Coturnix japonica: one gene and its partners. The protein of the gene in region 4 interacts with the protein of the main gene of each other region in a biochemical or structural test. Links are inferred from orthologs where the notes say so. Each region holds a gene or a part of one and is shown on either strand. Other genes may lie near its edges. The genes, in order: NIN, RICTOR, NFE2L2, GSK3B, LRP6, KLF5 and CTNNB1.

What was found.
Region 1: of the proteins of GSK3B (region 4) and NIN, one has a biochemical effect on the other in vitro, tested with the Homo sapiens proteins (2 studies listed by BioGRID and IntAct). The link is inferred for Coturnix japonica from reciprocal best matches to the Homo sapiens genes GSK3B and NIN.
Region 2: of the proteins of GSK3B (region 4) and RICTOR, one has a biochemical effect on the other in vitro, tested with the Homo sapiens proteins (2 studies listed by BioGRID). The link is inferred for Coturnix japonica from reciprocal best matches to the Homo sapiens genes GSK3B and RICTOR.
Region 3: of the proteins of GSK3B (region 4) and NFE2L2, one has a biochemical effect on the other in vitro, tested with the Homo sapiens proteins (2 studies listed by BioGRID). The link is inferred for Coturnix japonica from reciprocal best matches to the Homo sapiens genes GSK3B and NFE2L2.
Region 5: of the proteins of GSK3B (region 4) and LRP6, one has a biochemical effect on the other in vitro, tested with the Homo sapiens proteins (2 studies listed by BioGRID, with this or other methods). The link is inferred for Coturnix japonica from reciprocal best matches to the Homo sapiens genes GSK3B and LRP6.
Region 6: of the proteins of GSK3B (region 4) and KLF5, one has a biochemical effect on the other in vitro, tested with the Homo sapiens proteins (2 studies listed by BioGRID). The link is inferred for Coturnix japonica from reciprocal best matches to the Homo sapiens genes GSK3B and KLF5.
Region 7: of the proteins of GSK3B (region 4) and CTNNB1, one has a biochemical effect on the other in vitro, tested with the Homo sapiens proteins (11 studies listed by BioGRID and IntAct). The link is inferred for Coturnix japonica from reciprocal best matches to the Homo sapiens genes GSK3B and CTNNB1.

What each region holds. Positions count from the first base shown.
Region 1 is NC_029520.1:52,545,041-52,548,540, forward strand, and holds part of NIN (ninein), read right to left. Parts: coding exon 3,441-3,500; intron 2,370-3,440; coding exon 2,244-2,369; intron 1,437-2,243; coding exon 1,367-1,436; intron 1,200-1,366; coding exon 984-1,199; intron 843-983; coding exon 729-842; intron 1-728. UniProt on the Homo sapiens protein: Centrosomal protein required in the positioning and anchorage of the microtubule minus-end in epithelial cells. May also act as a centrosome maturation factor.
Region 2 is NC_029547.1:11,217,096-11,221,327, reverse strand, and holds the start of RICTOR (rapamycin-insensitive companion of mTOR), read left to right. Parts: upstream 1-1,432; 5' UTR 1,433-1,496; coding exon 1,497-1,545; intron 1,546-1,702; coding exon 1,703-1,750; intron 1,751-4,232. UniProt on the Homo sapiens protein: Component of the mechanistic target of rapamycin complex 2 (mTORC2), which transduces signals from growth factors to pathways involved in proliferation, cytoskeletal organization, lipogenesis and anabolic output.
Region 3 is NC_029522.1:14,071,236-14,074,735, reverse strand, and holds part of NFE2L2 (nuclear factor erythroid 2-related factor 2), read right to left. Parts: intron 1,754-3,500; coding exon 1,484-1,753; intron 1,316-1,483; coding exon 1,223-1,315; intron 613-1,222; coding exon 433-612; intron 1-432.
Region 4 is NC_029516.1:71,650,846-71,654,920, reverse strand, and holds the start of GSK3B (glycogen synthase kinase-3 beta), read right to left. Parts: upstream 2,801-4,075; 5' UTR 2,576-2,800; coding exon 2,488-2,575; intron 1-2,487. UniProt on the Homo sapiens protein: Constitutively active protein kinase that acts as a negative regulator in the hormonal control of glucose homeostasis, Wnt signaling and regulation of transcription factors and microtubules, by phosphorylating and inactivating glycogen synthase (GYS1 or GYS2), EIF2B, CTNNB1/beta-catenin, APC, AXIN1, DPYSL2/CRMP2, JUN, NFATC1/NFATC, MAPT/TAU and MACF1.
Region 5 is NC_029516.1:66,027,037-66,031,139, reverse strand, and holds the start of LRP6 (low-density lipoprotein receptor-related protein 6), read left to right. Parts: upstream 1-1,303; 5' UTR 1,304-1,585; coding exon 1,586-1,640; intron 1,641-4,103. UniProt on the Homo sapiens protein: Component of the Wnt-Fzd-LRP5-LRP6 complex that triggers beta-catenin signaling through inducing aggregation of receptor-ligand complexes into ribosome-sized signalosomes.
Region 6 is NC_029516.1:140,002,837-140,005,381, forward strand, and holds the end of KLF5 (Krueppel-like factor 5), read right to left. Parts: intron 2,481-2,545; coding exon 2,302-2,480; 3' UTR 501-2,301; downstream 1-500. UniProt on the Homo sapiens protein: Transcription factor that binds to GC box promoter elements. Activates the transcription of these genes.
Region 7 is NC_029517.1:39,920,525-39,924,024, reverse strand, and holds part of CTNNB1 (catenin beta-1), read right to left. Parts: intron 884-3,500; 5' UTR 836-883; coding exon 823-835; intron 340-822; coding exon 112-339; intron 1-111. UniProt on the Homo sapiens protein: Key downstream component of the canonical Wnt signaling pathway.

The DNA of each region.
Region 1 (3,500 bases), on a different chromosome or scaffold from region 4:
ACTCAAGCCTTCTGTCTTTAATTACACTCGAGCCACAATCCACTCTTGACTCAATAGATCTCATCTGCTTTTGCTTTTTAAGGCCATTATAAACCCCAAGCATTGGGAACATCAAAAGAGTGCTCTGCTTAAAAGACAAAGACTTCACAGCACCCTAATCAGGAAGGCTAATTCACTTTCACTTGTAGCCTTCATTATCTTTAATTATCATCATATCCTTACTGCCAAATGAACCATGTTTATATGGACAACAGCCAAGCCCTCCAGGAAATTATCTTTTTAAGTTCTGAGATGCCAAACCCTCCAAGTGGCACTCCTATTGCTTTGGTTTTGCTAGGGGACATGGTGGAAGCAACCACTCCCTCAGAGGAGTGGATATTCTCCTGCCCACCCTACTAATACGAGCTAGAAAAGCCTTATATGTTGCTGTATTAAAGTTTTTAAGTCTCGGTCTTTAATGACAAAGACCAACTGTGAAAAATCTACTGCTCTTGATTAACTTTTGGCAAAGCCTAAGAAAGCAAAACCAACCACAATTGAACAGCTGTATGTTGTACTGACAGGCTTCTGCAAGATTAATAACAATGTCGTTGATAATATACATTACATTATGACACTTGGTTAGAGAAATTAACTATTTCCATTACAATCAAGAGAGCAGAGCCCGTGAAGAGACAGGTTGGTGGCTCTAAGCCAACACCTGATGGTACCTGGATAGGGTGCCATACCTGTTTTGCCTTCTCCAGCTCCTCCTTGAGAAGGCAGTTTTCCTGCTCCAACATATGAGCTTGAACTTTTGTTTTTGACAGCTCCATCTCCAAGGAGGACACCACATTTGATGACTGCAAGAAGTAAAAGGCTCAGATTTCAGTTTGAGAGACAGTAATGTTACACAGAGGGTGCTATGATCAGTGATATGGGTTGGGGAATAGATGCTAATTCCTCCTAATTGCTCCATCCCACTAGAGCCACTTATCCCATACCTTTACTTTATTGTTTTCTAGTTCCTCTTTCAGTGCCAATCTCTCCTTTTCCCACTCTTCCAGAGTACATCTTCCTGCTTCCCTTTCCTTTTGTTTCAGCACCCTTGCCAGCTGTTGGTTGAGATCCTGCACATCTGCTTGGTTTTTGGAGTTTCTCTGGCTCAGTTCTGTGTTTTCAGAGTCCAGCTGCTGGTTCCTGGCCTTCAGATCTGCTACCTGAATTGGGAGAGCAGTGTTAATTAGGACTAATTTTGCACTGAACAATAGATTTATTTTTAAAACAATTACAGTAACATCAGTTGCCTTCAGATTGCATCGTCTAAAGGACTGATGATTGCTCAGTGATGTTCCTCCAGAGAAGCTGATGGACTCAGTCTGCATACCTGCTTTTTCAGATTGTCGACCATCTTCTGAACAGCCACTTTCTCCTTCCTCACTGCCTCTATCTTTTGCCTAGGGAAAAGGAAAGCTCATCAGCATAAGGGTCACTTGTTAATATACACGCCTGCAAAAACAAGCTGGTTGACATCACAATAAATGGTCATTCTGGATTTTTATTTTACACTTGCATCACTGCTTTGCACAGGCTTGGTGAGTACCTGCTTCGTTGACACCCCCATACATCTCTTTCCTAGAAGACTGGGGGCTGGAGCAGCTCTCATATGAGGAAAGTTTGGGGGAACTGGGCTTGTTTAGCTTTGAGTAGACTGCAAGGAGACCTCATAGTGGCTTTCCAGTACTTGAAGGAAGCATATAAACAGGAGGGGGAACGGCTGTTTGTGAGGGTGGGCAGTGACAGGACAAGGGGGAATGGTTTGAAACTGAGACAGGGGAGGTTTAGGCTGGATCTTAGGAGGAAGTTTTTCCCCCAGAGGGTGGTGACGCACTGGAACAGGTTGCCCAAGGAGGCTGTGGATGCCCCATCCCTGCAGGCATTCAAGGCCAGGCTGGATGTGGCTCTGGGCAGCCTGGGCTGCTGGTTGGTGACCCTGCACACAGCAGGGGGTTGGAGCTGGATGAGCACTGTGGGCCTTTGCAACCCAGGCCATCCTATGATACAGCCCACGGGTTAAGCTCCTCCTTCAGCACTAAGATTGAGCAGGAGAAACTGTAGGCCAGGGGAAAGCACAAAGATTGCTGGTGGCACCAGACAGTCTGCTTGCTTCAAAGTCCAGGCAACACCTAAGGTGCTTTAGGAGAAAGGATGTGACTCTGCAGTGAGAGCCTGAAGGTGCACATGTGGTCCCATGGAGTCCTTACCGCATCTCCTCCTGGGATCCGTTCAGCTCCCTCAGTTTCAGGCTGGAAGCACTGCCCTCCTCGTTTAGCAGCGTCACTCTGTTTCTCAGAATGGCATTTTCTTCTCTGAGCTTCTCAGCCTCACATCTGTGGCAGAGAGATGAGACATATGAGAACAGCATCTGTGCATCACCAAAGGAGAGAAGGCACTGAAATCCTGACCCGCTTGTGATCCTCAGCAACAAAGCTGCAGCTGGGTTATTCATATGAGCTGTACATAGGTTTTACATATAGACTGCTTCCCAGATTGCGAGAAAGGGGATATTAGCTGTACAAAACTCCTGCACAAAGTTAGTTACCTAAGATAGCCAGTAGAAGTTTTGCACTTCTATACTGTACTACACCTTCTGGTCCTTAAGGTACCAGTAACATAGTTGTGACTTTGAAGAGCTCAGCACCACCATAAGCAGACTGCTGGCACGGTGGCAGGTTCAAACTAAAAGAGGTGAGAGTTGGACTGGACGTAAGGAAGAAGTTATTTACACTAAGGATGGAGAGGCTCCGGCACAGGTTGCCCACAGAGGCAGCGGTGCCCCATCCCAAGAGAAACCCAAGGTCAGGGGATGGGCTGTGTGCACTGATGGAGCTGTGGGTGTTCCTGCACATTGCAGGGAGTGGGAGCAGATGGTCGTGAAAGGTCCCTTCCAACTGTGAAACCATTCTATGGCTCTGTGACTCTTTAGTGTTAACTCTGTTATTTAGAAAAAGCAAAACAATCGTAGCTTTTCAAGTAACACCCAGTGCTAGAAAGGAAAAGAACAAAGAGCTGATATTAGTAAAAGCTGAAAGCATTCTGAAAACATAACCACCATCTTTTAGACACTAAAACACAGAGGGCCCTGCTGTCCCACATACACACTGCAAAGGCAATTGCATCAGTCGCTGGTATTATGTTGTGCTAAGTCGCATTCAGAGGAACAAGGCACACGTTTATTCCAGCCATGGTTATCCACGTTCAGACACCTACCAGCAGTCAGATTCTGAGGCACTGCTTTCTAGAGCTAAACTACAGGGGTTAATGTGGCAGCTGCTGGGCGGTCAGTAGGGCTATGGATGGTCAGCAGGACACACTAGGTTAGTTTCTACGTGGAGCAGGCAGCAAGCTGGAGTGCTGTGGGGCTGCCACGCTTCCCACAAAGCTCTGCAAGCGTACATTACCTCAAAAGATCAACTTTTTGCTGCAGCTCAGTGCACGTGCTTTGCAAGCCATGCATCACC
Region 2 (4,232 bases), on a different chromosome or scaffold from region 4:
GGGAAAACAGGAAGAAACAAACAAACAAACAAAAACAAGCAAAGAGTTCAGAGAACTATTTTGATTATTAAACAGTGTCACATTTCTGCAGGCACAGAATGCTAGAAGAGTCAGCTGGAGTTTAAATATCACTCCAACAAGTCTTGATGTCCGTGCTGGAAAATGTTTTTCTACCACAAAGCAGTGTGTTTGTCTGACCATATATCTATTAGGGAAGAATTAAGTGCAGCATGGAACCAGCACTTCACATGCAGATTACAGGTTCAAGTCCAACTGAAAAGCTTAAGACAAGGCCATCACTCCACGGTGCTTCAAAGCTGATGTGAAATTAATGAGTCCCAGCAGCACCTCTAGTAAACAGGATGCAGTATTACTACCAGAAGCGGTGGTTAATTTGGCATTTTCAGGAAGTCAAGGGTTCCCTGGACATGAAATTTCAAAGGGAACCCCTGAGGCAAATTGATGAAACCATTAAAGCAAGTCTGCTACACTTTGGTCTTGTGTTAAGCATGAATGAGATCTTATTATTTCTACCTTTAAGTTTTGTGAACCCGGAATCCATCAAGGACATTAGTCTCTTGTTTAATAAGCGAAAACTGAAATAGGAAATTGTAGAAAAAGGCTTTATAGACTAAATAAAGGTGACATAATCCTATTAAAATAATGTTCTCATATGCATATCATGAGCTGAAAGTTGAAAGGAACGCCACAACCCCTCTGCTCTGGCTGTAGAGAGAAGCTACTTTTAACCATTGAAGTCAGTGCTAATTTTTAGAACACCAGTTTTTAGCGTGGTGGTTTAGGATCTGAATTGAAAGACAACCCATGACAAGGAGGGAAAGCCAAAGCATTGAAACTCACTGCAGTCGTTGGATCTATGCCTGTAGGGCCCATCCTGCACTTCAGCACGGGCTGCAGGGAGTGCATGTAGGGTGGGTTTCTGCCTGGAAAAGACAAGGAGGTGTAGGATAATCTGCTGGGTCTGCACAGGGCCCTCCTTCAGCATAAGCGTTTCACACATACGCTGATTTTATTAACAAATCTCAGGGAAACAAACAGGTCCACGCTGCAGGGACCCACCGCAACTCAAACAGCGCAACGAAGGGATGTTATTTTCCTTTTTGTTCTTAACTGCACACACAGGGATGCACGCTGCCACCCGTCATCCCACGAGCCACCACGGGGGCAAGTGCAGCTGTAGAAAAACGAAAACCGAGCACGAAAACCTCACAAAATAAACAGAAAACCCACCCAGAAACACCCTCTCCTGAGGGCCGGGCCCACAGTGCGACGCCCACAGCCACCTCCCCCCCCCCCCCCCCCCCCCCCCCCCCCCCCCCCCCCCCTCAGTGGGCGATGTGGGGGGGGGGGGGGGGGGGGGGGAAGGCGGGAGGCGGGGCGGGGCGGAGGCGCCGTACGCGACCGTGGCGGCTCCGCGGAGCTTTTCTCGCGAGAGCGGGCGAGGTTTCCGGTGTTGTGACTGCGGGGCCGTAAACATGGCGGTGAGCCTCCGCGCCCGCTCGCTGAGGCACCTCCGCATCCGAGGTAATGCGCCCGGCCGGGCCGCGCCGCCTCATTCCCGGTGCCCCTCTCGCCCCTCTCACCCGCTCTTCTCCCCCTCGCTGCCTCCTTCTGTTCTTCCCTTGGCTCTTTTTTCGCCGCCCGCTTAACGCGCTCTCCGCTTCTCTCCCCGTCTCCGCAGGTCGCAACGACAGCGGTGAGGAGAACGTCCCCCTCGATCTCAGCCGAGGTACGGCCCGGGGGCGGTGGGATGCGGGTCGCCGTCTGTCCCCTCGCCGCGTCCCGCCGAGGGGAAGCTGCCTGCAGCTCGGGGCCGGCCGAGGGGCCTGGATGCTGCACCGGGGGGCTCGGGGAGCGGGGCGGGGGCTGCCGGCGGGCTGTAGGGAGCGGGATTGGCTGTGGGAGGAAGGCTGTGCGTGGACCCGTACTCTGAGGAGACGGCAGGGTAACCCTGGGGGCGCCTCCGCGGCTGCGGATGGAGTCGCAGCGCAGCCTGGGGCCGGGCGGGCGCCCTGGAGGAGCCCCGCTGCTGCTGCTGCTCCCGCGGCCGCGCGTGTGGGTTTGCTGCAGCTGAGGTGGCCGCTCTGAGGTCCCCACTGCAGTGTTGGAGGTATTCATCTGCCACTTGTCTGCCGACCTGCCCTGCTACCCGCTGCTCTCGGAAGTACGCGGGGGATGAGAGGAAGGAAACAACAATAACGTGCTACACATTAACTAGTTCCCGCTTAGACAAATAACAGCTTGTTCCCTACCTGAATGTATTGTCTTGCTGCATGCTGGTGGGAGGGCCGGGCTCTCCCAAGAAGCAGGATAAATGCAGGAAACAAACTGCCTTCAGCAGCAGCAAGCCTCCTGTGGGCAGAAGATCTTTGTCTGAGGCAGGGGATGAAGTAGGAGCTTGCAGTACTTTATTGCTCAGCGCTAGGACAGCTGCACTCATGAATAGGTCCATTTTGCAAGGAGCTATACAAGGAAGTAACATAATCAATGAGCTGAAAGCAGGCTGTGAAACGTTGATACAGTGTACCTAGACAAGGGCTTTAACACTGTTTCCAACAGTATTCCCCTGGCAAAGTTGGCAGCCTAAGGCCTGGACAGCTACAATTTGCTGGGTAAAGAACTGGCTGCATGGCCAAGCTCAAGGAGTGATGGTGAATGGAGTTAAATCCAGCTGGTGTTCCCTAGGGGTCAGTATTGAGGCCTGTCCTGTTCAATATCTTTATCGATGACTTGGATGAGGACATTGAGTGTGCCCTCAGCAAGTTTGCAGATGACACCAAGCTAAGAGGAAGTGTTGGTGTGCCTCAGGCTAGGATGGCCCTACAGAGGGATCTGGCAGACTGGATTGCTGGGCTGAGGCGGGATGAAGTTCAACAAGACCAAGTAGTGGATCTTCAATTTAGTCACAGCAACCCCAGGCAATGCTACAGGATTGAGGCAGAGTGGCTGAAACAGTGTGCAGAGTAAAAGGACTTGGGGGCATTGGTTTGATGCTTAGCTAAACATGAGCCAGGTGGCCAAGAAGGCCAGTAGTATCCTGACTTGTATCAGATAGCATATCCAGCAGGAGCAGGGAGGTGGTCATCCCCCTTACTCAGCTCTGGTGAATCTCCAGCTTGAGAACTGTGTTTAGTTTTGGACCCCTCAGTACAAGAAAGACATCAAGGTCACGGATTGTGTCCAGAGAAGGGCAGTGATGATGGTGACGGCACTGGAGCATGAGCCTTAGGAGTTGCAGCTGGGGGAACTAGGATTGTTCAGTGTGGAGAAGAGGAGGCTTAGGGGAGACTTTATTGGTCTCTACAACTACCTGAAGTTTGTGGTGAGATGGGGGTTGGCCTCTTCTAGATAACAGTGAAAGAATTAGAGGGAATGGCCGTAAGTTGCACCGGGGAGATTCACATTGGATATTAGGAAAAACTTCTCTGAAAGAGTTGTGGGAGCTGGAATGGACTGTCCAGGAAGGTGGCTGAGTCATTGGAGGCATTCAAGAAGCATTTGTGTGGTCCTTAGCGTGGTACTAAGGGACATGGTTTAGTGGGCAATATTGATTGTAGGTGGACGGTTGGACTAGATTACCTTTGAGGTCTTTTCCAACCTTACTGATTCAGTGTAAATTCTACATAAAGGAAGTATTAATGCTGGCAGTATCAATAGTGCTTTCAGCTTGAAGTTGGGCCGTATCAACAGTTTCATCTCTAAATATGTTTTGTTTGTTTTGTTTTGTTTGTTTGTTTTTGGCTACTGTTTATTTTTAGAATTTTATTCTTAAACAGTTTTACCTTGGACTGAAAGCTATCTGTATCTGTATGTATCTAATTTAGAAATGCATTTAGTTCATGGGAAAAGTTCTGAGTTTTTTTCAGTTTAAAGGAGCAGAGTCTTGTGTTCTACCTCCTCATCATGGCATAGACACTATTGCTTTAGTGTCTTTAACATTAAAACCAGTGTAGCTTCATCAACAGAATGTGGGACGAAGGCTTAATAGTCCAAACACTTTACACAGCTGTTACTGTAAGTAGTGTTATCTGTTTATGAAATTCACAGAATCAGGATTTTAATGAATGTGTTTAGTAACCTTTTTACATTGTGTAACACTGAGTTGTTCTGATGTGTATTGTTCTTACACAAAATTTAAATGTGGGAGTGGTGACTTTTAGATCTGTTGGAGATCTTTTACTCAGGATTCAAAAGGCAACTGTAGCAAGGTT
Region 3 (3,500 bases), on a different chromosome or scaffold from region 4:
AACTCAGTGATTTTGTGCTGTCTATTGTTCCCTTGAAATACTCAGTTCATGTACATTATATAATTAGTTTCAACCAACAAATATACAGTTAAATAGTTAAATGAGATAAACAGAAGAGCCAAGTGTTGTTAGAAATATATCTGTACATTCTATTTTTATTTATACAAACCCTTTTCTTAGATAAAATTTATGTAAATACTACATGATTACTTTTGCATTTAAAATACTTAAATACTAGGAGAAAAAAAACCAAACTCGTTTACAGTAATGACTGCAGAAACAATTTATGCTGTAGTTCTATAATTCAGAAGTGTCTATTTCCAATCAGCTCCTATTTCCACCATGGTTGTGCTGTAACAGGTTGCATACAGATGCAAACAATCATTTGTCAAACATGATGAAGTTCTGATGATTATTATACTAAACTTTTACCTGTAACTCCGGAAGGGACAATAACTCTTCCCAGACTTGCTCTATGTTCTGCATATTCTCTGCATCAGCAAGTGGAACTATACCAGGTGAGTTGGGTGGCTGAGTTTGATTAGAAGTAATGAAGACTGGGTCACTATCAATCTGATCGGGAACCAGTGATTGAAATGCAGATGGAGAAGCCTGGAGTGTTGAACAAACAAACATACACTTAGAATCTTCCAAAGCAAAAATCCGCTTTTGCTGTTTTACCATTTCTACAGAATAAATAGGCATTTCTTAATGAAAGCATTTACTATATATAATGAAATAATCTAAAAAGTATTCACATGAAATGAGTTTTCACATTATTTCACATTAAGGACAGAAACAGGAAAAAGTATGAACTGAGTGATGAAGATCTTATTTTTACTCGCCAAATAGTCTGGGTCTGTACATCAAAGTAAAGCAGCCCAAATACACCAACTGCAGAGAGCTGAACTAAGCTCACTGCAACAAACTGCACAACTCTGCTACTTGCAGCAACTAGCCTGACTGCCATCAGCCAGTGTAAAATGGCCTGCAGGACTCCATAAGCACAAGGAATACAAGAGCACCATGCCATGCCATCTGCTCCTGATACAGCCCTAGTTCAAGCCCACGACACGGCTTTATTCCAGTTACAGATGGCTTAGGGACAGCACTCAAATTGTATCACGAATTAATATTTCACTGCAGACACATCCTGGTATGAGAAAATAGGAAACTGATCCCCTGGCACACAACCCGTGTAACCGCTGCACTGAGCGCTTACCTCATTGTTGTCTATAAACGGGAATGCTTCTGCCAAGAGCTGCATGCAGTCATCAAAGGACAAGGCCTCTTCTGGTTTTGAAGTATCTGTGCTCTAAACAGGAAAGTAGTGAAGAAAAAATGTTACTGCATCTTTGAATAACTGAACAATCTTCCATTACAGCAACAAATGCAAATTCATTTTAGGCAACCACTAGCATTATACCCTCCTGTGGATGGAAAAAGTGTTTTAAACACACTCACAAACACAATCAGAGTTTACCTGAGAAAAATTGATTGGTGGTTCAGCGTTTTCTGACTGAATGTGCTGAGCTGGCTGAGCTGGAACAAATTCACCTGTCTCCTCGTCTAACACCAGCTGAGCCAGCAAGGCTTTCTCCCGCTCTTTCTGGAGCTGCTCTTGTCTTTCCTTTTCAAGTTTCTTCTGTTTCTCGAGTTCATACTCCTTCTGTCGTTGACTAAAATCAAAAACTTCACGCCTTGCCCCAAGGTCTATATCTTGCCTCCAAAGGATGTCAATCAAGTTCATGTCCTGTAATAGAAATGCCGTTTTGAAGCAAGCCTCCTCCCCAGTAGAACTGGTTTAAAACAATAAGAAGGCTTTTAAATTCTGCGTTAAACAGGTAGACTCATGTAAGTGAGATTCATTCTCTTAATCCTACAAAATTGTCTAAATGAAATATGTCTCCATATGACCTTCCTGAAGTGTGTGAACTGAACGTTTGGTTGCTGCAGCCCACACACTGGGTCATGGAAACTAAGCAGTTTGTTGCAGTTGGTAAGGCAACACACAAACCAGATAGTATTCTTTCCTATGTTATCCCACAGAATACATGAAGCGATATTACATTACAGTAAGAAACTAAAAAATGAACAAACAAACAAAAAATGATATAAAAGAAAAAAAAACAGAAATTAAGAAGTTTATCCATGTAATTCTTTTTCAGTATAATCTTATCAAATTGTAAAAGCTGATTAAGAACATCACAAGGAGTTGTCTGAGTTGCTACAATAACCATACTCAAAATGCGTTTTTAACTATTTATGGTCCATCCTGGCATCAAGTATGAATCTTAAGATCAGCAGAACGGTGCTACAAAGCCGGAGGTCCCCACCTCACACAACATCATGGGAGTGCCTGGCAAAATTATTAAGACTATCGCTAAAAATTTGTAATTCCAAGCTTAATTTCAGTTGACGTTGTAAGTGTGACTGGTTTGGAGCTGAGTATAAACCACGTATCAAGAGCTGTCAAACTTTATTAATCAATTGGGCTCTGAGTAATTTTTCATATTTTGATGCTGTTCAAACAATATTTCTTGGTGAAGTTTGGACTCTTCTCTAAGAAAAATACACCACACAGAAATCATCAGCCAACAATTAAGTCTGTTCCTGCCAAAGCCACGACAGCATCCCATTCCAGTGCCTAACCACCCTCTCCATGAATAAATTCTTCCTAGTGTGAGACCCAAACCTCCTCTGGCACAACTTGTGGCTGTTTTCTTGCATCCTGTTGTATTGGCTGAGAAAGGAGTCCAACAACTTACTACAACGACGAGTATATAAACATCATATTTCACTTGAACAGGACTTTGCTGATTGATTCAGTGAGCAGTTACACCCAAGGTACATTACATTTTCCACCATATCAAATTAAACATTCCTTTCTCTGTTAAGAGTGTTTTCAGGCAGCGAAGCAAAGTAACCTACACGTCACATCACACTGCCTTTCAAAATGACTGCTTCCGTACAACGGCAATGGCTTTAGTGGGAGTCCACATCTGAGCAGACCATAATCTCTTCATTAACAGTTCAATGCCATTTGTACTCATACATACACATTACATGATGTACTTCTACCGGTTGCTAAAAAAAAAAAGCTTACTTTCTTTTAGAATCAGGCAGTTCTATATAATACCCGTGTAACACAACGTGGGCATTCTGACACCTAAGACATATATATTATACCTTGCTGGGAGAGACCAAACTCAGCTTTAATGGCCAGCAAGGAAGAAGCTGAAATAATTGCAGTGGCTGCCCAAGACAATGTTCGGTCTCATCAGATTGGAGGGTAAAATGAACTAATTAAGTCCCGCAGTAATTGGAGATGCTGCAGTGTAGTATAGATTCATTAAGGGCCAGTAGTTTACCAGCTGCTCACTGTCTCCTTCTGCAGCAGATTCTAAACTGTTTCCTAGTCTCAGAGCATTTGCAATATGCTCTGGATAAAACTGCAGGATCTGGATTTTAGGGCTCGCTTCTGAATTATTCATCTACGA
Region 4 (4,075 bases):
CAGAGGACAAGACCCTGATGGGAATCCCCTTCCATTCAAGGCTCAAGCTTCTCAACAACTTCCGAGCACAAAGTCTAAAAAGATGGAAAAGTCAATGGCCACTCCCCCCTTTCACAGAATCACAGAATGAGCCGGGTTGGAAGGGACCTCAAGGATCATGTAGTTCCAACCCCCCTGCCTGGCAGGGCCACCAAACATACACCTTTACTAGATCAGGTTGCCCAGGGCCCCGTCCAACCTGGCCTTGAACACCTCCAAGGACGGGGCATCCACAACCTCACTGGGCAGCCTGTTCCAGGGCCTAAGCCTGCCATATCCTGAGCAGAAGAGCAATCACCACACTCCAGCTCTCTAACACAAGGTCCAACACACCCTCCTCCATTCCTTCCTCAATGCTTCCACCTCGTCCTTTGAATCCTTTCAAAGGAATGGAACTACTGCCGGGATCAGCTAGAAGGTGGTCACCAAAGCAAGCGTGACCTCACCACCTCATTTCACCACCACCCCAGCCTTACAAAGGCGAGCAAAAAGGCTGGCATAGAGGATAGGCTTTGCTTCCTGGTGACCTGGAGAAGGTCTGAATCAAGATGGGGATACAACAGCTGCCTACAGGACTCAAAGAGCAGCAATCCATCCATTTCCATCTGCTTCACAATCTCAAGAGAACCAGTAAAATATCACCCTTTCTGGCAATCAGTGGCGCTGCTCTCTTACAAAGGAAAATAAGAAGTCGAAACTTCCTGCACTGTCTTACACGGATAGATTAAGTGAAAAATACGCCTGCCTTTCCCACACAGTCCTTGCATGCGGTTCTCTTGCTTTGTTCTGACATTTTTTTCCAGACAGCAGAAGGACCAGGAGCACATGACTAGAGCGACTGGGGAGGAGGGGCTGGGGGGGGGGGTTATCACAAGTGCGTGTGCTTTATGCTACGGCCTTTGTTTCTCCCTCCGTGTTCCACACTTGGGATCAAATCGTATTTGCAAACTTGTTAGTCTGCATCACTTAGCACCCGCTTCGAAGGCGAGCATCTGTCTGGTTTCTGACCTCAAACAAACAGGAAAGGAGCATCAATGACCTTTCAAGAATCGAGCCGTACAGCTCGAATAAGGCAAATTTAGCTTTGGAGCGTGGCAGGGCTAAGTGTGGCTATAGCGTTAAACAGCCACCTGCAGAAATACCCAGCGACAAAACCTGCTTCCTATTCCACGCTCACGTGAAATAAATCGATACATTAAAATGGAGTCTTAAATATTCCCCCTTCCCCCCTCCCCCCCCGTGTGAATTAAGATCTTTAATACATTTGAACCAGATCAAACACAACCCGTTTTAGCAGCATATAAGAGTATAAAGGGCACTCGGAGTGCAGCAGGCACCCTGATCATGCAGATACAAAGCAGCAGCTCCAGAACCTCAGCCCAATATTCTCCTCAAGGCTTCAACCGCAGCGGAAGTACATTTTGATGCAGAAAAACGTCAGAATTTCTCTCATCTGTCAAAAAACCCCCAGCCGGGCAGAGCCCCGGCTTGAAAAGCCTCCAACACCAAGAACCAAACCCGCACACAGCAGTGCCAGGTGTGACCACACGGGATATCAAACGGATCAATCAAACCTTAACGCCCATCAAGCGCTCCAGGTCCCATAAAGACCCAGCCCTCCATTTCCATAGGGGAAAAAAAAAAGGGGGGAATATTACTGAAAACAAAGCCCGTAGCATGAATCGGCAATGATCTGACTGTTAATAGGCACGTATTCAAAGAAACCTTCAGGAATTATTTGCCATTCAAGAGATATAGTTCATTGTAGGTGACCCGCAGCTGGGCCTTTCTCTGGTCGTACCGAGAAGCAATGCCCATTCTCCATTCATATAGTGTGGCCGAGCCCACCAGCTGCAATGCAAAGGGTGGGCACCCATCAAGCACCGATCATTTCCAGCATGCCCGTGTGGAATAAAGCACAGGCCTCGTTCTTCAAAATATCCCCGTTGAGAAAACCTGGGCAAGGCAGCTCGAAACAACCACTCGCAAGCCACAATGAGGATTTTCTTCCTCCCTCCCGTTGGGGATCATTAGCAGCGTATGATACACCCTTTGTAACCCCCTCGGACGGCCTTTGTAATAGCCCCCCGTTTTCTTCCGCCTTTAATAGGCCGGGCCGTGGGCTTCCCACACCTGATACAGAGCTCCCCCCCCACCTCTTCCATCTCCCTCCTTCAGAGGGCACAAAACACCTCATTGGGACCAATGTCACGGCCGTACCCGCGTGCCCGTCATTCATCCCCTCCTCCCCGAGGCAGGAGGCAGAACAGGGGTGCTGGTAACCCCGAGGAGCCCCCCGCGGAGGCGAAACGGCACGGCCGGCAGGGGCCGAGGGCAGGGCCGGGAGCGGCCTTTTTGTGTCCCCCGCAGGCCCGGCCGAGCTCGCGGCCCACCCGAGACGAACGCGAGGCAGGGCAGGAGGGCGGCAGGGAACGGCCCGATACTCACGGCTGACTTTCATGCTGCCGAAGGCCGAGGGCTGCTGCACCGGCTTGCAGCTCTCCGCGAAGGAGGTGGTCCTGGGCCGCCCGGACATGGTCTCCGGCTCCGGCTGCGTCCCGTCGGGCTGTCCGCCTCCTCCGCTCTCCTCGGGGCTGCTCGCGGGGCTGTGTGCTGCGGGCTCAGCGGGAGGCGAAGGGCGAGCTGTGCCACATGAACCGCCGGCCCCTTCCCCCCCGGGGAAGCCCCCTCCCCTCTCGCTCTCCCCGCCGGCCTTTCCTCGCGTCTCCTTTCTTCTCCGGCCTCGCTCCTCCCGGCGCTCACAGCGCCATCCTCCCGCAGTGCCGGTGGGTCCGAGAGCCGCCTCCTCCCAGCCGCAGCCCCCCGGGCCGGCCGCGAGCAGCGGGGCTGTGCTCGGTGCTAGGCCTCGCTGCCCCCACCCTCAGCCCAGTCACATGGGGCGGAGGCTCGCGGCCCGGCTCCTCCGATCCTGCCGCTCGGCTTCTCTCTTCTCCTTTTCCCCTTTATGTCTTTTGCCTTTTTTCTTTTTTTTTCTCTCTCTCTTTTCTTTTTCTCCTCGCCTCCTTCCTCTCTCTGCCTCCTGCCCTCTCCTCTCCTTCCCCCTTCGCCACTGAGGGAGGGAGGCGGCGGGACTACTTTTCCCCCGGCGGAGGGATCTCGGAGCTGCTGGATCCGCCGACGGGAGGCGATGCGGCCCCGCGCAACGGGATCCGGCGGCGGCGGCGGGATCCGCGGCGGGCGGAGCGGTGTGAAGCGGCGCGGTGTGCCCGGCTGGCTCGCAGTGTGTGTGTGTGTGTGCTCTCAGTGCGGCGCTGAGGCGGCTCCGGCGCGGCTCCTCATTGCTCCCGCAGGGGCAGCTGGCGGCGGCTCACGCTGGGCAGGCTGCAGTGCGGGCGGTGGCCGGCGGCGGCGGTGCGGGCCATGGCGGCGGCGTTGGCTCCCAGCTCGTCCTCAGCCGGCTTCAGAGCGCCGGCGGCTCTCGCTGTTGCTTCCCCGGGCGTCCGAGGCGCATGAGGAGCCGTCCGCCCGGCTGAAGCTTCCCGCCGCTCCCTTCTGGCGCCGGCTGCCTCTCGCCGGGCCCCCCTCCCCGTTTCTGTTGGTCGCTCCCTTTGTCCCCGCTGCTGCCTCCGCTGCGTGCCGGGCTCCCGCTGCTGCGCTCTGTGTGTGCGCCAAAGCCGCGCAGCCGCCTATGCCCGTCGCCGCCCTACGCTGCGGAACGGCCCTAGGCGCCTTCTGTGAATAGCCACCCGAAGCGCCCGACGCACTCGTTAGCCCCCAGCCCGAGGCCCTGACGGAAATACCCGAGCGTCGTCGGGACCAATCCCGAGGCGGTTACGGAAATGCCTGTGACGGATCGGAACCAATCGCGAAGCCCTTACGGACGCACCCGAATCCCCCCGAAGCCAGGCGGAGGCCCAATCGGAAGGCGCCGCCACCGCCCTAGCAGCGCAGTCGGGCGGCCAATAGGAAGAAAGCCTCTCTTCCGGCTATTACCGAGCCAACCCGAAGGGAGCCGAAGCCAGACAGCCAATCGCAGGGCGCGCTGTCTCGATTACGCTCCGCCGATTGGTTCACG
Region 5 (4,103 bases), about 5.6 Mb from region 4:
TGGAGCCCAGGATCCCATTTGCTTTCCGAGCTGCAAGAGCGCACTGCTGGCTCATGTTCAGTTTCTCATCCATCAGGACCCCCAGGTCCTTCTCTGCCGAGCTGCTCTCAAAGATCACTCCTCCCAGCCTGTACAGGTGCCTGGGGTTCTTCCAGCCCAAGTGCAAAACCTTGCTCTTTGCCGTGTTGAACCTCATTAGGTTCACCCGAGCCCAGCTTTCCAGCCTGTCGAGGTCCCTCTCAACGGCATCGCTTCCTTCCACCGTATCGACCACACCACTCAGCTTGGTGTCATCAGCAAACTTGCTGAGTGTGCACTCAATTCCATCATCAGTGTCACTGATAAAGACTTATACTTCTTTCTCTAAAAAGTTTTAACTTGCAGTTTTTCCCCAGTAGAATCTCTAAGTCTGATATCATCACATGACTGCCAGAGTCTGATGTCAGAGCCGGTTTGCAATGCCTGGGCCTTTAATCTGGCCCAGATGTTATCTCCTACTGTAATCACAAGAAAAGCTATGAAAATATATGTTCAACAGATACGAAATTAAAAGTTAAATGTTTCCATAAGTTCCTAACAACCCTGAAAAATAATACGGACTTCTGAACGCGAGGATCTCAAATCGTGCTTCAAGTCGTTCTGCCTCGTAGCTTCATCCCACGGAACGGAGGAGAGGAGGGACGTCCCGTGAGATGTAGCACAAATACCGAAGTATCTTCGCCCACGGGGCAGCACCACAGAGATGCTCGAGGAAAGGCTGTGGCACCGCAGCCCGCCCTTCACTCGGGAACCACCACAGCGGCCGAGCAGCCCTCACCTGCGGGCGGAGGGGATCAGCCGCCTTTGTGCGGCCGCCGCCGCTGTGTGACTGAAAGTAGTCCCGTCCCTCCCGGGCCGGTGTTGCTCCGACGGCCGCATCGCACCCAAAAAGGCGGCGGAGGCGTGTGCGTGCGAAACACCGCGGAAATAGTCCCGCTGGAATGCGACGGCGGCGTCGGGCCGGCTCCCCCCGTCCGACCCCTGGCCCTGCCCACGGCCGCCCGTGGGCCGCGCCCGCCCGCCCTCGCCCCACGCCCCGCCCGAGGCAGAGCTGCCCGCCGTGCCGCCGGGCGCTTCCCCGCCGTCGTTGCGTGCGCGCCGCCTCCTGCCCGCCCGCTCGCTCCCCGCCCGAGAAGGCGGGCGGTGCGGCGGGAGCGCGGAGACGGGCGGGCGCGGCGCAGTGCGGGGCGGGGGCCAGGCCGGGCCGGGCCGGGGGAGGAGGAGGAGAGGAGGAGGAGGAGGAGGAGGAGGAGGGCTGTATCCCTGCGCCTGTGCGCGCCCGGCGGAGGCGGAGGCCGGGCGAGCGAGAGAGCGGAGAGTGGATGGCGAGCGGCCACGGCGGCGGCGCGGAGGCCGGCATGCAGGGGAGCGCTCGGTGCCGCTGCGGCGCGGTGGGGCCAGCGGCCTGCTAGGGGGGCTCGGCGGCCGCCCTTCGCCGCTGCCCGGCCCTCCTCCCCGCCTCCCCGCCCGCCGGGCAGCATGAAGTGGCAGCGGAGGGACTGCTCCTCGCCGCCGCCCCGCCGGTGAGAGCGCGGAGCGAGGGAAGATGGGGGCCGTCCTGCGGAGCCTGCTCGCCTGCAGTTTTTGTTCCCTGATGCGAGGTGAGCGGGGGGCGGGAGGAGGAGGAGAAGGAGGAGGAGGCGGTGGGGAAAAGTTGACGGCCGTGTTGCGAGGGGCCATGTTTGCCCGGGCGGGAGGGGAGCGGCCTGCTTGCCGGCGGGGCCGGCCCATTGTTGCCGCCTTCAAGTTTGGCTTTTTAATAAAAAGAGAGTAAAAAGGCACCGAACGGCCCCGGCTCCCTCCGCGGTCCCGGCCCTGCCGGCGGCAACGCGGCTCGGGCGCGAGTGTCTCGGGTCGCCCCGCCGCTCTTCGTGTCCTCGCCAGAGCTGTTCGTTTTCCCTTCTTTTCCCCTTTCCTCCTTTGCCCCGGCGGTTCGGGGCTTCCCCTAGAAGTGGGTTCCCCGCTGCCGGGCGGCTCCTTATCGGTCCCCGGTGCCCGGCAAGGGGCTGTTGCCGGTCCCCCGGGGCGCCTGGGTTCCGCTGCCCCCCTCTGCGATTCCTGCTTCAGGAGGAGGATTTCTGTCTCGGCGTTAAAACCGGGTTTCTCTGGGTATTGTGAACTTAACTCCTGCGTCGGTTTCAGTCTGTTTACTGTTGGGAAGAAATCACCTGCGATGTTTGCATCCATCATCTTGCAATTTTCTCATCTTATTCTGCGCTAGAGGATGCAAGTGGTTAATAACTGATAGTTCATCAACCGTGTTTGATATAGAAAATTACTCCGTTCTCAACATTTATCCACGAAAGATCAATAGAGGTGTTTTGAGCTGAAGGAACTGCTCAGTAGCCGGTTGTTCGATACTCCACAAAACAAAAAATTTTCCACTCTTCCATACTCCCTTCCCTTCTTTTTTTTTTTTTTTCCTATGCATCTGTTTGCCATATTGTATCCTGTTTGTAAGGATACAAGTATACTTATTTAAATACACTGTAACAGTTCGCTTCCAATTGGAGCGGGGAAACTTCAGTTTTCAAAAGTAAGGTTGGATCCAGAGCAGGGAGAGGAATAGTTTCCTGGTTAGTTTTATTATGTAACGACCATACCTGTTCTTAATAAACCACTCATTTGCTTCTCAATTGCAGTTTAATTCAAATGGCAGCACCATTGCATGATATCAGAGCTGCGACAGCCACTTCTTCAAATGAATTTCAGAACAGTGACGTGTCCTGCTGCTCTTTTTAGCGTATCCAGTGATGCTTAAATAAACTTTGAAGAAACATTCAGTTTGTGAACTATCTGGACTGTCATTTCTTCACATCTGTCGTCTTTATCTATTGCCAAGATGTTTGTATCCGAGCAATAGTCCCCTTTCTTCTGTTTCTGTGTGTTCCTTCTGTTGGATCTTCCACCTAAATTCATAGTCTTATGTTTGTGACGTGATAGTAATTTCCTTAATTGTTACTTAAGGATGATATAAGCAGCAGGAACAGCTGAACTCTGAAGAAACAAGAATAAAATATGAATGCATACATCCTTTTTAATAAACAACGTCTTCGCAGGCAGAATTGGTTTGAATAAGATGTGTTGAGTTCATACGAAGTGTCAGCTGTTCCTTAATGAGGCAGAGGCAGTGCCAGAATAAGTATGAATAAGTTTATACATGAAAGTAGAGCTGAAGTGATGACGTTCGCTACTTGGTTTGTGAATTTGGTGCTGTGAAGGCTGCTAAGTCAACTAACTCAGCATTGGAGTTTAAACTCAGCATTGGAGGCTGAAACCTGGAAAATATGTTTGTGAATTACAGCATCCTCTGTTTAGAGAGCTCGCCTCCCTGCTCTTACTTAACAACAACAAAAACAAACACAACACAAATGGACAGAGGCTTACAACTGAACTGTGATTATTAGTGCAAGAAAACTGGCTTATCAGTCTGGAAGGGGGTAAAACTGGTAGCCTGGAAGTGTGGTACCTTATGAACTAGTAAGGACTTGGAGAAGTACTGGACCTTTCTGATCCAGAACTGGAAGCACACCCCAAGGCACCTTTCTGTCGAGTAATCTGAGAACTGTGATAAGCAGACCATACTGACTATTCAAAGGCAGCTATTTAGATTAGTATGAGATGAGCTGATGTCACAACAGCTGGCTGTGGAGGTTTGTGTGAATGTGTTTCTTTGATTTGTTTCTCCCTTGTGCTGTACGATAGGAGAAAGGGATTGCTTTCCTGGAATCTGCCCAGTCTCACCCGCCCGGCCTTTGTGCTCCTCTCTTGGTCTTTGGTTTGATCTGGGGGACTCTGAACTTTAGCAGTGTTTCCTGAGGCTGCTCCTCTAGGATCTGGACAGACAAGTCAGTAAGACCTTTCCTCTGGTCACTCTGTGTGTTCTTCATGGCAGCTGTGAAACCAGTCAAGCTCTTGTTAGGTAACTGGCAATTGCAAAGAGGCAGTAGCAGTGGCATCACATCTGTCAGGGAACTACAGATAAGTGTGAAACAGGTTTCAACTTATTAAAAAGTGTTAAAGAGGTAGTTCTACCTTCCCAAGTATTCTTGGCTTGCTTTTGT
Region 6 (2,545 bases), about 68 Mb from region 4:
TTCCAATAAAAAATACTGAAAAGGAGATGTGGATTGTTGGGGGGGACATGACATTGAATAAGACTTCTTTGGGACCCTCCTGTTTTTCTGGGACATGAAGGGGACTTTGGGAGGAGAAAGTACTTTTGGGCAACACTAGATGGGTGTGAACAGCTTTTACCCATTTTGAAAGTAGGAGAGAACTCCTATAGTTCTTGTATACATGCCATGAGTATTTTTCCTTTCCAGCTACGTGTCTGTGGATGGACTACTGGAATTATTTTCAGGCTACTGCACAATTCTGTTAAAGTTCTAGTGGCAGAGAAGAGCCCTGAAGTAATAATCTTTTCACATTTATTATTTTAAAGAGGGCTGGACACAGAAGGGCAAGGTACTTTCCAAAGAGACAATCCCTCCTATAAAGAACAGCCATTCTTGGCTTTATATTGCTGCGATTTCCAGCTCATCCTGCAAAAACACAAAACTTACAATTGTCAGGAGCTACAGAGAACACACAAACGCACATTAGGCACTTTGTTTTATTTTGCAAAAAAAAAAAAAAAAAAAGTCTTTTATATATAAACCATTTCATTCTCTCTCAAAACATTCTACAACTATACAGCTGTTTGCTCCAACATTTGCATAGGAAATACCACAATACAAAAATAAGGTAGGGGGGAGGCAAAAGAAGCAAAACAGCAACCAATTTATGCATGTGTTTCCACGTATAAACATTTGAAGCCTTAGAAAATTATTTACATCATTTGTCAACTATTTACATTAAGAGCAACATTTCTAACTATAACAAACAAAACTATAATTTATCAAGTATATGTAAAATTGTCTTAAAAAAAAAGTCTATCATATACCACAAATAAATAAAGACAAACAACAGTTTTCACAACGCTAGATTTTCCTGCGAGACCCTTTTTTGGTATTTTGATTGTTTATTTTACCCTTTGGTTGACAGCTTAATATTACAGCTTGTGAACTCCAGACACTTTTACTTGGTTTGTTTCGTTTTCTCCTGTTGCCTGGCCAAATCCTGCACAGGCTAACCTCATCTTTGGCCCTTCACTTAATGTTTCAAGGCTGAACACTGTGGATCAAAGTCACTGTTAGCATAAAAGGGCACCACTTCACTGACTTCAGTGGAGTTTCAGCTACCTTTGTCAGCAGTTAATTTTCCCCCGTGCGTATCCATTTGAACAGTGGATTAACTAAACTGCACTGTAATTTTAAATAAAATTACTGTATCCTTTACCTTCTAGTAAATTACACGCAATGTCCACATGAAAACAGATCATACTGGTGCTGAACCAGCTTAGTATGTCCGTATATGAAAATTGCATCCTAAATCCTTCTTTTTAAAGTGATACTAAGTTTAGCTTATAGTAAGAGGTTTAACATTCTTTATACTGTAACTACCCCCCCGTTTAAGCTTCCAACGTTTACTTTCCAGTTCACTTTAAATGTTTTACCCTTTTAAGAAATTTGAAAACAAAATCCTGCTTTGAATATTCAGTGCACACAATCTGAGTTAACAGGTACAAAACATCCGAATGCCTTGCTCATTTCTCTCAAGAGAAATGAAGCTAAGTTGGTACTGGTTTGAGAGGTATTTAAATAACTTTTAGTGTAAATGTGCCGTGTTAACAAATGTAAAACAACTGTGTTTTTTTTTTGTTTGTTTTTTTTGTTTTTTCCAAATAATTCTTAGAAAACTTTTGTTTTAACCCTAAAAAGCTGATTTGCATATTTACAAAATCTTTGTCATAGCAAACATGCAACATACAGAACAAAATGTTTTGTTCTATGGCTGTTTATGAATTTTTCTACGTATTTCATCTCCACAGAACGACTTAACATTTAAAAAAAAGTACAAGTACTAAACAAGTCCAGTAAAACCCTGACAGATTACAATGCATGGCTTTTCCACTGTGTCCATTCATCTATAGTCTCTCATTAATTTGTTTACTAAACATCGTCACCATAATGACACTGCTTTGGTCAAAACACCTAGAGAGAAAAAAAAAATATGTGTAATGCTGCCGTGTGTCAAGACATAATACTTGTAAAGAGATGAAACCTGCTGACTAAAGCCATATACACCATGTGAGCAAACAAATGACTTGAACACTCTGGTACTGTGATAGTGTCTTCCCTTTTTCTGCATAAATATACAAAATATACATTTTCCAGTTTTGAGATTTCTTTTAAATGGATAATCCATCCTCAAAAATTAAACTAATTTTAGTTGTAGGTTGAGAGTCATTAGGAAATTGCATAGATACAGAACGGCCTCGGCAACAACTATGGCTCTCAGTTCTGATGCCTCTTCATGTGCAGAGCCAGGTGATCAGAGCGAGAGAAGCTGCGGTTGCACACGGCGCACTGGAAGGGTTTAGCCCCGGTGTGCTTCCTGTAATGGCGCGTTAATTCGTCCGAGCGCGCAAATCGCCAATCACAGCCCTCCCACGTGCACTTGTACGGCTTTTCACCTGAAATCAGACAGAAGGAAGAGAAACGTCAGCTGTGCATCTTCTGAAGAGTGCCGACACAGGGT
Region 7 (3,500 bases), on a different chromosome or scaffold from region 4:
TTAACTCAAACAGAAATAACATTCTTCTAGATTAATAATGATTCAGTATTTTATTTTCAGTATTATTAAGTTGCATATCTAAACAAGCTGGTGTAGTAGAGGAGGCCTTACCAGCAACTTGCTCCTGGGTAAAGGACTGAGAGAACCCTTGCTCCCACTCATACAGGACTTGAGTTGTGTCCACATCTTCCTCTTCAGGATTTCCTTTGCCACTCAAAGAAGGAGCAGTTGTTGTGGCACCGGAATGGATACCAGAGTCCAGATATGACTGCTGCTGCCAATGACTGACTGCAGCTTTTCTGTCTGGCTCCATGGCCATATCCAACTCCATCAAATCAGCTGTAAGAAATAGTTGAACAATTTGGTTTAGTCACAGCATGTATTAGTCCTTCAAGACATGACTAGGATTTTACAGTAAAATAAACAATTATAAGCAACTACCTCAGCCCAGCTGAGTGTAGCACAGAAAGTGAGACAGCCATTTTAAACTGAGACATTATATCAAAACACTGCAGACACCTATAAGCCTGACTAGCATACAGAGCAATCACTGTTGTTATGACTTAGTCTGCTGCTTAAAGGCTCCCTTTCCACATCGTATGATTAGGTACCTGGCCATACTTAAGTGACTCAAAACATTTACGATGACAAACCTCTCTACAGGCTTAAGTTACTGTGGTAAGGTATTAAATGCTGCTGTACAGTAGGCATTATTCCATTCAAGCAACTTAGAGTTAAAAAGGAAAGTAAGGAGCCAGATTAACTCTTTTTTATTACAACTGGTAGGGTCTAATAAAAAATTAAGCGTAATAAATTATATACCTTGGGTTGCCATGTTCCTTGCTGTGCTCCCAGAACTCTTTCCTGCTACCTTTCAGAGACTCTAAAAAAGAGCAAGATTAGAACTTATTAAACGCTAATCAGAGCTAGTAAGACAGGATTTCATATCTTGACAGTAGAACTGCAAGCTAAAGCTTAGCACATATTGCCACGTCACTGATAAAGTGAGTATATTCAGTGCTAATTAGCAACCCCCCTATGGACACAGAAGAATGAGATATATCACGTAGACTTTTCCTGGCAGGCTATATGTAAGATACATTCACTTCCTTAAAGCCACAAGAGAAAAAGAAGTGAAAAATGACCGTGATAGAGCCATTTTTTACTTCTCTATCCTTGTGTAAGATGAAGTACAGACATTACATTACATGGCCTGGATGTGCTGCAGAAACAAGAGCTAAATGTTGGAATTGCTCATCCCCTTCTCAGAAAACCACTCTGAAGATATTAGCAAAACTGCTTGATATGGGGCTACAATAAGGACTTGTGCCAAGGAAGCTTAACGACCATTTAAGGCAATCTACTATCATTTCAGTGTTAGAAAAATTCATAACTGAACCTCCTTCCTCACTTCCTGTACCACAAGAAGAAAGGTTTCTTTCTATATAAAAACACTCTTTTGTGAACTTAAAATAGAAAACTGAACCAGTCTTAAAAAATCAAAAATTCTGCTTCAGATACATACATTAATTCAAACTAATTTTTTTTCCCTGAAATCCAAAGCATGGAAGGCTGAGCTATGATTAAATACTGTATCAAATCACATACGCACCACCATCTAATATCACCAAACACTACCAAAGCACTAGTACCATACAACTGTAGCTGTCTCCTCATTAACACTGAAGGAGAAACTTGAGGCTGCTGCTTCACAATGGGTCAGTCGATGCTGTCATGCTTTCCACTTGCTCCCCTTCCCCCTGCAGTCCAACACCGTTGTTTTGGGGTTTATTTTGTTACTAGTCTATATCAGTTTTATTGTAGTGTTTTTTTTCCAGCACTAACACAGGGCCAATGACAGCCTGTTCTGGAAGCTAGCCAAATAGAAACATTTGTAGTGGTAACTAGTGAAGAGAGCGAAACCAACTCTTCCAGCAATCAGCTTTCAGTCTGTGCTCGGTGTTAGAGCTGTGCTGATCAAAACATTCCTAGACAATGAAGTAAAGGCAAGGACAGGTCTGCTGTACTGTGTCAGGAGAACGAAGTCCATCTGACGCTATATTTGTATAAAGTCTATATAAAGACAGACTTAGTTTAAGGATTTCCTTCAGGAGCAGCTTTTAGTAAATGGTAATTCCATAGAAGACATGCCTGCAGTTTCAGGGCTCTCAGTAAAGGCACTACACAATGCTGAGGAAAGGCTGCGTTTCACTGTCTGAGCTACTTGCAGGATACCCCAAGCAGCTCCTGATCAAACTCATTACTCTGCTGCACAAACACCAGTCCTGCCTGTCCTGACTTAGCGCTCCCACCATTTTTGGCAGCATCCCTATCCTGGCTCTTTTAAAATGGACAGCAGATTTGCCTGTGAAGCAGATAAGCAGCACGGAGATGATTTAAGATACAACACAACATACAGTAAATATGCTGCTAAGCAGTTGGAAATGCTGATGCTTCCAAATGGATCCTACTCTGAAGCCTGGAGGAGATGAGCCGCTTTCATCTGCTTCATGCATTCCACATCCTTCCCCCCACCACTACCTTAAATGCTACAAAACAATTCTTTCCAGACGCTGTTAAAAGTTTGGGAGTAAGCACTGGTAAAGAAATGGAAAGAGAAACTAACTCAAACTATCACTTCACCATTAATTTATAAGTTCTCCTGGCTGTCTAAGTGAGTAGAACTGCCAATACAACATCCTGATAGCACCTCACAAGCCTCATACATTACTTTGCCAGTCCCACTAACACCTTCCATGCAGAAACAGAACAGTACTGAATGGCAATAACACTTAAAAACAAAGCTGAAGAACACCTGCAGGTTAGCAGTGAGAACAGTCCAGTGTTCAGAAGCGCATTATCAGTCAGATACAGTGTGACTTTGAAGCACTGACCTTAGATCAGCCTGCTTGCCGCACCTCAAAGTTTCTAACGTCCTAATCTGCATTTCATACAACCATAAAGCCCCCCAGCAATTCCAGCCTGCATTCCTAATTTAGATGTGAAATTGGATTTAATCCTCAAAGTTAAAAATAACCACAGATTAAAGCCAGCCAGGGAAAAGCAGTACGTTCCGATTGCTTTTAGGGTTTCTGCAACTGAACGTTCTTCAGTATCTCGCTTCCCACTCCCTTCTCTTCTTAGCAGGGGGTAGAACAGAGCCCAGAGGAGCTGCTGACTCCTCCCAGTGCGTATCACTAAGGCCAACTGCTGCCTCTGACAGAAACAACCCCAGCCTAGGTGCAAAGGTTTGTGCTGTTGCCTCTCCTGAGGTAAAAGGTAAACAAAGAGAAAAACCCCAACCCCACAAAGATCATAAAGCTCCTTTACATCCAGCTCCTCCTCAGGTTTCCTGAAGGAGGCAGGACTAGAAACATTACATTGTCAAAGTCAGTAATATGGATCTGAATAATGAAGAAAAAGGATTTACTGCATTTCAAAGACAAATGTTGCACCATAGCCAACTTCCGTAGCCCTCACTGGTTTTAAGGAGTGCCTAG